Linked DNA regions of Rattus norvegicus. The main gene of each other region encodes a partner of the protein of the gene in region 2 in a complex. Links are inferred from orthologs where the notes say so. Each region holds a gene or a part of one and is shown on either strand. Other genes may lie near its edges.

What was found. The genes of interacting proteins can lie anywhere in the genome.
Region 1: Exosc4 (region 2) and Exosc1 share a complex: the UniProt entries of both Homo sapiens proteins name them as parts of the RNA exosome core complex. The link is inferred for Rattus norvegicus from reciprocal best matches to the Homo sapiens genes EXOSC4 and EXOSC1.

The regions. Positions count from the first base shown.
Region 1 is NC_086019.1:250,691,405-250,697,178, forward strand, and holds the start of Exosc1 (exosome complex component CSL4), read right to left. Parts: upstream 3,345-5,774; 5' UTR 3,336-3,344; coding exon 3,305-3,335; intron 3,220-3,304; coding exon 3,104-3,219; intron 3,082-3,103; exon of another isoform or gene 2,927-3,081; intron 2,884-2,926; exon of another isoform or gene 1,918-2,883; intron 1,479-1,917; coding exon 1,404-1,478; intron 1-1,403. UniProt on the Homo sapiens protein: Non-catalytic component of the RNA exosome complex which has 3'->5' exoribonuclease activity and participates in a multitude of cellular RNA processing and degradation events.
Region 2 is NC_086025.1:109,926,126-109,931,779, reverse strand, and holds Exosc4 (exosome complex component RRP41), read right to left. Parts: upstream 3,290-5,654; 5' UTR 3,252-3,289; coding exon 3,081-3,251; intron 1,544-3,080; coding exon 1,337-1,543; intron 1,237-1,336; coding exon 877-1,236; 3' UTR 547-876; downstream 1-546. UniProt on the Homo sapiens protein: Non-catalytic component of the RNA exosome complex which has 3'->5' exoribonuclease activity and participates in a multitude of cellular RNA processing and degradation events.

The DNA.
Region 1 (5,774 bases), on a different chromosome or scaffold from region 2:
GAGATCACTCACCCAGTGGTGGTGCTGCCCACACTGGTCTGGGTCCTCCCATATCAAACGCCAACCAAGAAAATGTCCCACAGACAGGCCAAGCTGATGGAGGCAAATCCTCACTGAGTTTCCTCCTTCCGTGTAGCGCTAGTATGTGGCAAGCTGATCAAAACTAAGCAGACGACTTTGCTGAGTTGGTTTTCTCCTGGATTCATTCTTTTTTTGTTGTTGTTGTTCTTTTTTTCGGAGCTGGGGACCGAACCCAGGACCTTGCGGGAAGCGCTCTACCACTAAGCTAAATCCCCAGCCCCTCCTGGATTCATTCTTATGTGCGTCAGCAGGCTTGTATGGAAAGTGACTGCCTGATAAGCCATTTTATTTATCGACTCACACTCTCCCCTACTCCTTCCTCTCCCGCTTCCTTTAAGGCAAGGTCTTACTATGTAGCCCCACCTTTATTGGCACTCTAAACCAGGTCGGCCTTGAACTCACAGAGATATGCCTGCCTCTTGCCGTGTCTGTCTTCCCTCCAGCCGTCTTTGGGACAGAGGGTTACCTTGCAGCCTAGCTCCCCTTTGAGATTCCCCGCCTCCCAAGCACCATTGGAGGAGCGTGCACCTATGCCCTGCCAGCAAAAATTTCTGTGATGACAGAAATGTGATTTCCTGGGGCTGGACAGATGGCTCAGCAGCTAAGCGCACCGGCTGCTCTTCTAGAGGACCTGGATTCCATTCCTAGCACCCATATGGTGGCCTATAATTATCTGTGCCTCTAGTCCCAGGGGGTGCGACACACCTTTCTAGGCTTTGTGGTAGCAGGCACGCATATGATACAGACAAGATAACTATTCACATGAGGTAAAACAAAACCAATCATTTCCTAGAACTGAAGACGTACTTCTGGGGAGTCCATCACTTTCCCACACCCCCCAAACTAAAGTCATATGTCAACCAGTATGGCAGCCACTAACCACAATTTGCTACCGAGTACTTAAAATGTGAATAGTGTTGGGATTGTGGGGTGCAGGATCTCACTCTGTAGCCTATTCTGGTCTTGGACTACTGTTCAATAATTCTAAACAGCATCCAAATACCGAGACCACAGATATTTTATATTTTAGCCTGGCTAAAAATAAATTTTTCATTCTTTTCTTTCTTTTTGAGACAGGGTTTCTCTATGAAGCCCTGGGTGTCCTGGAACTCTCTGCATAGACCAGGCTGTCCTCAAGTATTCACCTGCCTATGCCTCCTGAGTACTGGGATTAAAGGCTGAGTCAACACATCCATCCCTGAGATTGACCTTCTAGCAGTAATAAACTTAAAACACCCTTCTCTAGCTAGGGACTACTGTATTAAGCAGCGGACCACGGCAGTTGTAGGATCTCGGCCTAATCATGACTAGGACCGGCTTACCTTACAGGTGACGACAGCTCCCACATCTGGAAGTAACTGGGACTCTGTCTCTCTCATTACTGATACCACGGGAAGCTGTGGAGAGAATACGAAGGTTAGTGTACTGGCTAAGTAAGCCCTGGGTAAAGAGAACTGAAGGCTGAGGATAATACAGGGGTATCTTACAACAGCCGAGGTCACAAGGGCAGGCAGCCTGTAGATTCATTTATAGCCCATAGCAGAGGACATTAGTCATTTTAGGAAATAAAGAGGATCAGAGGCCATTAGAACTAGGCTGCCAGGTTTAATGTGATCATTCTGATTAGTTGTAAATGACTGAAGACTCTCTTGGGATTTCCTGGTACAAATCCTATTGCTTATAATTATGAATATCCTGACTCTTTCTTCAAGCTATAACTTTTTTTTTTTTTACTTCAGGATTTGCAATTAAATGCTATAGAATGGCAACTCTTGTTTTACTCCAATGGCAACTGGTGTATTATCTTACCTCTCTTGCTCTGTGCTGTTTCCTTACCTTACTAAGTCCCTCCCATTTCACGTTGTCTGTCTAATCCATTCTTTCCACACTCCTCCACCTCTCCTTATCTTCAGGTGCCGAAATATTATTGTCACTATCTAGAATTCATGCAGCCCGTTACATGTTCTCACTGTTCCGCACACTTCTTTTGAAGATATGTTTGTGCATTTGCTCATGGTTTGTGTCTGTCTCCCTGGTAACAAAAGCTAAGTGTATTGGGCTCAGGACTCTATCCCCAGTAGCAACTAAGGGCACCACTGGGCAGGACATCTATGTAGTGAGTAGACTGACAGGCTGAGTTTTATCTCCAAAACCAATAGACTGGAGCCCATTTTTTTTACAAATAAGTACAACACAAAGTGGGAAGTTTGGGTTTTGCCAGTCTCTAAAGAGGGTGTGTTTTTCCCCAGGTCCCAAGCTAGGCAAACGCTGTGCTGATGAGCCACAAGCCCAGCCTGAGGAGGTTTAATTCTTAGTTTTTATAGTCTTACAAATGTCAACCACTGCTTTATCTGAGTCAGTTAGAAGCTGGGAATACACTCGTGTATCACCATGCATGGCTACACTTAAACTTCTACTTGGGCAAGAATCTAGTTATCATGAGTAACATATTTAAATAAGTGCTCCAGGGAAGGTTCTTGGGCACAACAATCCTACTGCCACTAAAACCCCCATTTTCTCAGTCAGCAGGTCCAGAAGGGCTTCTCTGGGAAAGCCATACATACAAACAAAAAACAAAAGGGATTGAGCAGAAGTGTGTTCCAGACAGACAAGTACATGCATTGCATAGGCTTCGAAACAGAGTTTAGTTCACTAAGACACTGAAAATCTCCAGCATTACTACATTGATGTCAGTGAAGTGGGACACAAGAGCCACAAGAAAGCGGAGGTAGTCGAGATGCATGACGGGAAGAAGCTCTCGGCTGGCCGGGCTATTCTCAAATTTGCGTGCTTTTCCCCTCCACCTCCTTCTGTGAGTGTCTCTACACAACTAAGCCAGCCCAACCTAAATGGTGTGCAGCAGGTGTGTTTTAGCACAGCGCTGGGATCAGAGCTGGGAGAAGCTGGGAGACCAAAGCTCTGAGACACCAAAGACAGGTCCTCCCGGTAGTGCCTGTGCCCAAGGACCAGAACTCGATGGCAGCCTGAGAGGTGACGCTCGTTGGCTAGCCGCTTTCTTTACCGCGCCATTCTCGCTGGTCTTCGTCAGGCAGCCAGCCAGCGACGAAAAGATGTAGCCGTGCCGGGTGTAGGTGCCGCTGCCCGGGCTGCCTTCCTCCAAGTTACACAGACGTTCGCCTGCAGAAGACATGTGCCTCAGCTACGAGCTCCCAGAAACTGGCTGCCCGCAGCCAGGGTCTGCCTGCGGAGACCGCTCACTTACCCGGGATGCAGTACCTCACAGGTGGTGCCATGCTTGCCACCGTCCACAACCCGGATGAGAACCAAGACGACTTCTTATTGGTCAACTAGAGGAGCGGCCTCGCAGTTACGCGTGCACCAATTGGCGCTTTCGACCGCGCAAGGCGTAAGAGCGAAGCCTGACTCCATTTCCCAGGCTGCCCCGGGACAGAGTTCTGGGCGTGACTTTGCGGGCTCTGAGACTCGCGCCTGCGCAGCTGGGTGGTGATGGGCTGTCCGCGGGTCTCGGTCCGCTGGCTGGCGCTGCGGGCTCAGGGCCATGGTGGGTTAGCCTTAGCTCGGCCCGGCCTGGGTCCCGAGCTGGAAGGGGAGGCAGTGAGTGGCTGACAGGGAGACTTGGCCTAATCTAGCTGATTGAGAAGCTGGCAGGAGGCAGGTAAGAGTGAAGGCGCGGTTCTTGTCCCCATCCGAGTCTCGGGTGTCCAGGCCCTTAAGTTCAAGTTCCTGGACTCTCTGCGCCCTGCCCTGCGTGGCTGTCCCAACTCATCCTCAGTCCCAACTCGCCCATTTCACGAGTTTGGAGACTCAGATCCAGAGACAAGGTTTGGTTTGTACAAAGTGTCGTAGATAGTTCGAGACAGACTAAGCTTAAGCCTTTTTTCTTTTTCTTTTTTTTTTTTTGACCTGAGCCTATCATAATTGGACCCTGCTGCACCTGGAGACACAACCTTTTTTTTTTTTTTTTTTTTTTTTTTTTTTTTTAAGCTTTGTAAAACGACAGTTTCTTCTCTTGCAGGCAGATACTCTAGAGCGTGAGCTCCTTAACTATGAATGGGCAGCTTGACGTTAACATACCATTCCTTTTGCATTCTTCCATTTTAGCATGTTAGCCGGGAAAGACAACTTCATTAATAGAATATTATGCTTTCTTGACATCAGCTTGATATGGCAAAGGTCACGGGAGCAGCAGCTGTGTCCAGATGAAATTTGCCGTGACTTGATCTCAGTTTCATCTCTTGGCTCTGGAATTTATTCCTATCTCCCCTTCCCTCCCTGTCAGTCAGGCTTCTTTGAGATACAGATGGTGATTTAGGGGAGTGCTGTTGCCTGCTAATCTCTACTCTGGTGGCAGATGGCCACTGTACTCTGTGGATTCTACTGAGAGGTGGCAGGACTTGGGGTTTGGAGGAACTATGCTGGCTTATCCCTCCTCTGTTCATTCAGGTCATCCATGACTTCTCACCACATTTAGATTTAAAGACTTTGTTTTTTTTCTCTGTTTCCCAAGGTAAAACCTTTTCACTTGTGGTCCATTTATTACATCTTTTTCTAGTCTCCTCCTTCTCCTCATATCCCACTAGGCTGGGGGGGGGGGGTCCTGGACCCATTCTTTGTTCACTGGAGTTTGATCAGCAACTATATGCTTTCCACTTTACAGGTTTGATTTCCAGTTTGAGGTGTCCTCTAAGTTATTGTTCTTTAGTGCTGTGATTCTAATAATGGTTCTGTTTCTTTGTTTACCAGAAAGAATGAGTGCAGCAAATCCTTTGGTGTGATCACTTTGGTAGGAGTGTCTCTGCTGGCTTCTGTAGAGCTGTCGGCCTTTCCTGTTCTGCCTCTCTCCAGGTCATTCCTTCAACAAGTATTTATTGAAACTTCTATGCGCCAGGTATTATGCTAGGATGTTTATATGCATTTGATTTAAACCTTGGCCATATGTGTGTGTGTAGATGTCTGCATGTATACACATTTGTATGTGTAAGAATTTAAGGGTTAGAGAAGGAGGTTACAAGACTACTTACAGAAAGATTTGAACCCTAAGTAGGGTATAAATAGATGAGAATTGGTCACTTGAGCCTTAAAGTAGACATTTCACACAGAACTCAAGAATATAGGAGGTGATTGACAATCCGAATTCTTTTTAAAGACACGGTCTCGCGTATCTTATGCTGGCCTCAGACTGGCTGTGTAGCCAAGGATGATGTTGACCTCCTAATCGCTCGCCTTCAGATGTACAGACATGCCAAGTTTTTTTTTTGTTTTTTTGTTTTTTTTTTTGGTTCTTTTTTTCGGAGCTGGGGACCGGACCCAGGGCCTTGCGCTTCCTAGGCAAGCGCTCTACCGCTGAGCTAAATCCCCAACCCACATGCCAAGTTTTGAAGATTTTTATTTATTTATTTTTTAGACAGGGTCTCTCAAATTTCTAGAACTTTGAGATTGATTGCCCTGGAAACTTACTCTGTAGACCAAGCTGGCCTCTGCCTCCAAAGCGCTGAGATTAAAGGCGTGCGCTACCACCACTCAGCCTCAGTCTTTCTTTTTTACAGTTCCTGTGAAGTCTTTCAGCTTCATAGGAAGTGATGGGAAAGGTGGAAAGGCTCATAGTGCAGTGGCTATTTTGGTCTTTTCCCCATCAAGCTTCGGTTTTCTTGCAGGCTTTTTTTTGTTTTTTTGCAACTTTTCATTTCACCTTTGAGTTTCCAAGATTGTGG
Region 2 (5,654 bases):
CCCAACCATAAAATTATTTTGCTGATACTCCATAACTAATTTTGCTGTTATGTCATAGTGTAAATATCGGATTTGCAGGATATCGGATAGGAGACCTCAAAGGGGTTGTGACCCACAAGTTGAGAACCATTGCATTAGTCTAACCTTACATCTCTTGATGAGCACACATAGCCACCTCAGCCTTGCACTCATGTCTCTGAAGAGTTGTGTAAGCAAGGCACATTCCTTAGTCTGAGGGCATGAGTGAGGAACACAAGTGATGGGAGAAAGCGGACTCCATTTTGAGCCTGCTTGTCCCTTGTTTGAACTGCGATTAATAGAAATATCATAAACAATCCAGGAAGAAACTGCCCTGGGCTAGAGCCAATCAGAGAAATAGAGGGAAAGTGTCTAAAATTCCAAAGGTTACAGATAAATTGCTCATCATTGACCAATCCTTGTGCACCAAGATACCCCTTGCCAAATAAGGCAACTGACAGGCTGGAGACCCCCTCCCTGCTCAACCCTTGCTAAGTAAGGCAATCGCTATGCTGGAGACCCCCGTTCCCTGCTCAAACTAGTATAAAAACCTTGCCTAAATGAGGTTCAAGGTCTCAGCACAAATCTGATGCTTGGAGGATTCTGAGGGTCCAAGCTTAAGTGTGAATAAAGGCTTTGCTTTTGCATACAAATCCAGACCCCTGGTGGTCTTTGTGGACCCTGATATCTGGGCAGGCACAGCATGAGCACTCTTGCTCTTCCTAGCACAAGTGTTCTCTCCACTTAGGGACTGCAGTACAAACTGCTATGTAGGGCCCTGAGCTGCTTTGAAGTGCTGTACATTACAGTGTGTTCAGGAGAGGAACAGGCCTTTATTCTGGATATGGGGGGTTGGCCTCAGTCCCCCAGTAAGATAGAGGCCTCCTGCACATGCTGCCGGACAACACGATCCAGCAGAGTGTGCACATCCCGGGCTGCCTGGGCAGCAGCCTCGAGCACCTGCTCCAAGTGGTCTTCATGCAACCTCGAATCCATCTCAAGCAGTGCAATCTGGCCAGAGGCTGGCAGCAGGGCCAGGGCTAGCTGGGGCCCGCCAGCTGCTTCCTCCACGTGACTGAGGTCCGCTAGTGCTGTGCCATCCACAAAACCAGCCGAACATGCACACACAAAGTCCCGCATGGGTATCCCAGCATCCATCACTGCTAGCGTGGCTGCATTCACACATGCTGCATAGGTCCCACCGTCTGCTTGTAGCACCTGCAGGGGGCATCAGGACATCAGACATCTCATCCTCCAGCATCTCAGGCAGACCTCATCCCCTTAAGCCCCGCCCCCGGGGGAGTGGTTTGAGGCTCACCTGCACATAAATGTCTATCTGAGAACGTGGGTGCAGCTGTGTGAGGATAGCTGCCTCGAAGGTCTGGCGTAGCTGCAGCCCCATCTCACAAGACTTCCGGTCTCCATGAGGCCTTCGCTTGCGCTCACCTGTGCTGAAGGTTGCTGAACTGTACTGACAGTTCACTAGAGCCCGGTCAGGCAGAGCCCGTGACCGGGAGCCCCGGATCTGGAGGAAAAAAGAAGGAATGAGCCAGGGCCGCCTACCTCCTGGGTCACACTCGATGGCTCAGCCTTCCTCCTCTTCTTTCTAAAGTGCTTCAGAAAGCAGCAGCTACTTTGGTTCCAAACCATGGCAGGCGGTTTAGGGCTACACTTCGGTCTAAGCCGCACCACTGTCACCTTCCGCAAAAAAAACCCCTTTGTTCTTTAGTTGCTCCATTTCTTCCTAAATCATTCCCATCGTGGTCACCATGTTTACAAACATGTGATTTGACTGTGTCACCCACACACTAATATTTTACTTACCTTCCAGAAGCTTCTCATTACATGTAAAAGAAAATCTCAATTTCCCCGACCTTCAAAGCCCTGGGTCCTCATCTCCTTGGTTAACCACTCAACTTTATTTGATCTACTGTCCCTCGGTCTACCAGTAGTCTGGCCTAATGTGTTCTAGACCTGACCTGGCTTCCACCTAGAAAGCTGAGCAAATTGCTAGCAAACCTTAAAATGTGGGCTCATTGGTTAAGAGCACTGACTGCTCTTCCAGAGGTCCTGAGTTCAAATCCCAGCGACCACATGGTGGCTCACAACCATCTGTAATGGGATCTGATGCCATTCTGGTGTGTCTAAAAGACAGTGACAGTGTACTTATATATAATAAACAAATAACAAACAAACAAAAAAACCCTTAAAATGTGCATGTTTGCCGGCCTTGCTACACCACTGAGACAAAGCAGCAAAGGCAGGCAATTTATAATGTCTCTGTCTTGGGAGTTTACATTCCAGTAGAGAGACAAGAGACATGGAAGACTGAGGAAAATCGATGTAGCAGGGGCAGAAATAGCCTGGGAGGCCTTTTCCGGACAAGATGTCAAAACACTGGACTGAAAGAACAGGGACTGAGTGTAGCTTTGCCAGGATGTATGAGGCACCTCAGAGATGAAGAGGGCAGCCCAGGAGAAAAGAGGCCCACTGAGACGGAGGAGTTAAGCAGTAAGACTCATGTCCACTCCCACGATGTGCAGCCATGAGCCCCCAGTCCCTGCATGAGACAATCATAGTAGTTGTGGACAATCTGAAGCAGCCCCATATCCCACCCGTGGGATTAAAACAAAAACATAATCACATAACATAACTGGGTTCTTAAAGAAACCAATATTCTCAGTTCATCATGGGACCTAATACTTATACAAATTTGAGGGCCATGTTAGGGATGCAATTCCCCGAGAGGACTCAGAACTCGGGGTATAATTATATTCATGGCTTAGTGGATGTAACACAAAGGAAGGATTGAAATGGAAGTTAACCAAGGGAAAGAGCTCGTGAGGTGAAATCAGAAGAAGCCAGGTCCTCGCAGATGCACGCACATCATTTCCCCTACAACACGGTGGGACAACGTGTGTTGAGATGCTTTCTGCCAGGGAGGACCCCAGAAATTCAAAGATGGGATTTTAGTATACTGCTGCATAGGTAGAGGAGTTAAGCTGTAAGGTCTACTTCCTCGTCGTGCGGCCACGAGCCCCCAATCCCTGCCGCTTACTCGCCTCGTGAGGCCCGTAGACCACCGCCAGTGCCTTGGTGTTGCCCTGCTCGATATAAGCCGAGCCATCGGCCTGCGCAAACACGCCCATCCGCGCCTGAATCTTGCGCAGCTCCCCCGCGCGGCGACCGTCTATCCGGTAACCCTGATCGGACAGGAGCTCCAGCCCGGCCATGTTGCGCAGTCCTCGCTCCGCCTCCGAGAGCACGACCCCTTAGATGACCTGGGCTTCCGCGACTACGACTTCCGCCGGTCCGTTTCCTTTTCAGTCTCGGAGAGCTATAACTTCCGGTAAACTAGTCCCTTTCCGGTGCAAGGCTCGTAGCTTCCCCGGCCTGCTGAATGTACGAGTCACGTCGTTCGGTTCCGGGAAATCAAAGGCCCGAGCCGAGCTGGTTTTTGCAGCTTCTCCTCGGTTGTTGAAGTAGGTACGCCTTGAAGACAAACTTCTCTTTCCGGACGTCCTCGGTTTGTCGGAGGCGCTGGTCCCAGCGGAGACTATTTTTTTTTGGCCCTTTAAAAAACTGTATATCTATTTTTATTGTACGAATGTATTGAACAAGCATACCTGCTTGTATGTCTTTTCGTCACGTGTGTGCTCAGTGCTGCGGAGGTTAGAAGGGGGCAGCCACTGTGAGTGCTGGAATCTGGTCCTTCTCTTTTTTTCGTCTTTCGTCCGTGTGGTTTTTACAGTGGTCAGTTTAGCCAAGCACAATTTTTTGTTCCACATACACGTGATTATTATCTTTGTGGCTCAGTATTAGTTTAGTTTTTCTTTTTTCTTTTTCATTTGCTTGGTTAAATCCATAAGTTTCCCTCCCTTACCTTGGCCAGTAAGTTTTCTCTATAGCCTGGATGCAAGCACAAAGCGCCTGCGGTTGTCTATATGCACCTGTATAGTAGGTTTTGGAGTTCTGATTATTTTTAAAGATTCGGTCACTTAGTATACATTTGGGAGTGTTTTCACTCAGAATATGAAATACATAGTCCTGAGATTTTGTTGTGTTTGTTGGTGATGGGCCCTTTTTTGCTGTTGTTTGGTTTGCTTGTTTTTGGAGACAGGGTTTCTTTTTGTAGCCTTTGTTGTCCTGGAACTCCTTCTGTAAACCATGCTGGCCTTGAGATCACAGATCTGCCTATCTCTGCCCAGAGTGCTGGGATCTGAGGCATGTGCGATATCACCTGGTTGCTGTTGCTTTTTGAAAATCTTGATATGTATTTCAGGTTGGCCTCAAACTAGCAATCTTCCTACCAGAGCCTCCCTAGTGCTCTTATAATGATTATAGGTGGGACCGTGACACCTAGCTTGGAGGTATATTTTTATTGTTTGCTTCATACCTGTGGGGTAGATAGAGCAGATTATAGTCCCACTGAGTCCTCTTTAACAACCCTGTGTATTGTAGGAGCAGATAATTAAGGAATGCTATTCATTGTGGAGGGCTTGTGAGTCTTGATTCTGAGTATGTTGTCTTATTTTCTCACCCAGAATAAATAATTTTGTGGTGGTTTGTTTGTGGTGTTTTTTTTTTTTTGTTTTTTTGTTTTTTTTGTTCTTTTTTTCGGAGCTGGGGACTGAACCCAGGGCCTTGCGCTTCCTAGGCAAGCGCTCTACCACTGAGCTAAATCCCCAACCCTTGTGGTGTGTTTTAAAATAAGATCTTACTATGCAGCCTCAGTGTAGCGGGTCTTAGCTACTTTGTGGGTTCTTTTCCCAGTCGTTTATCCCTCCCGGTTTTACCTCCTGTCACTAGATAGGAGAGGAAGGGACAGGAAGGAGGAGGGTGTGGGAGATCTTTGAATCTAGTTTCTTCCTTTCAGTTTCTTCTTTGAGTACAACTACCAACAAGCAGCAGCCACCCCCGTCGATTGGAGCTTTCGCATTTTTATACTCTCTGAAAAGTTCCCAGAATTCCAAAGTCACACAATCACAGAAACTATCTGCAGCTGGCAAAACCACGCCTCCGCAGAGCACCAGGCAAATCACAGTCAGCTGCTGTGGACAGTCTGAAGCAGCCCCACATCCCACACCTGGGGTTAAAAAGAAAACAAACGCTTATATTTCTGTGTTTTTAAACCAACATTTCAGAATTCTCATTACACCCCAGCTGGCGTAGAACTCTCAGAGATTCTCCTGCGTCTGGGTGCTTAGTATTCCACTGACAGTTTAAAAAAAAAAGTTAGCTATTCGTGCTAGTGGTTGCAGGTGGAGGTCTGAAGGCACCTTGTCAGTCCTTTCACACCATCTTTATGTGGGTCCTGGAACTTAGGTTGCCAGGCTTGGCGGCTAGTGCCTTTACCAGCTTGATGATCTTGCTGACCTTCTGTTGTTGTCATTGATAAAAGATAACACAGATTCGCAGAGAGGACACTGAGACGGAATTGCTCTCCAATGAGCTTCATGAGGAGAGTTACAGCACCATTGTCACAGACGGCAGTGAGGAGGCCCCTATGGAGGAGACTATTCAGAAGCGTTGGCTCTGGAGAGATGAGTGTGACATAGAACATGACAGGTGTCCTGAAGGGAAGGGACATTCCGTTCTGAAGGATTAGGAGAGTTAGAACATCACACCAGCCAACT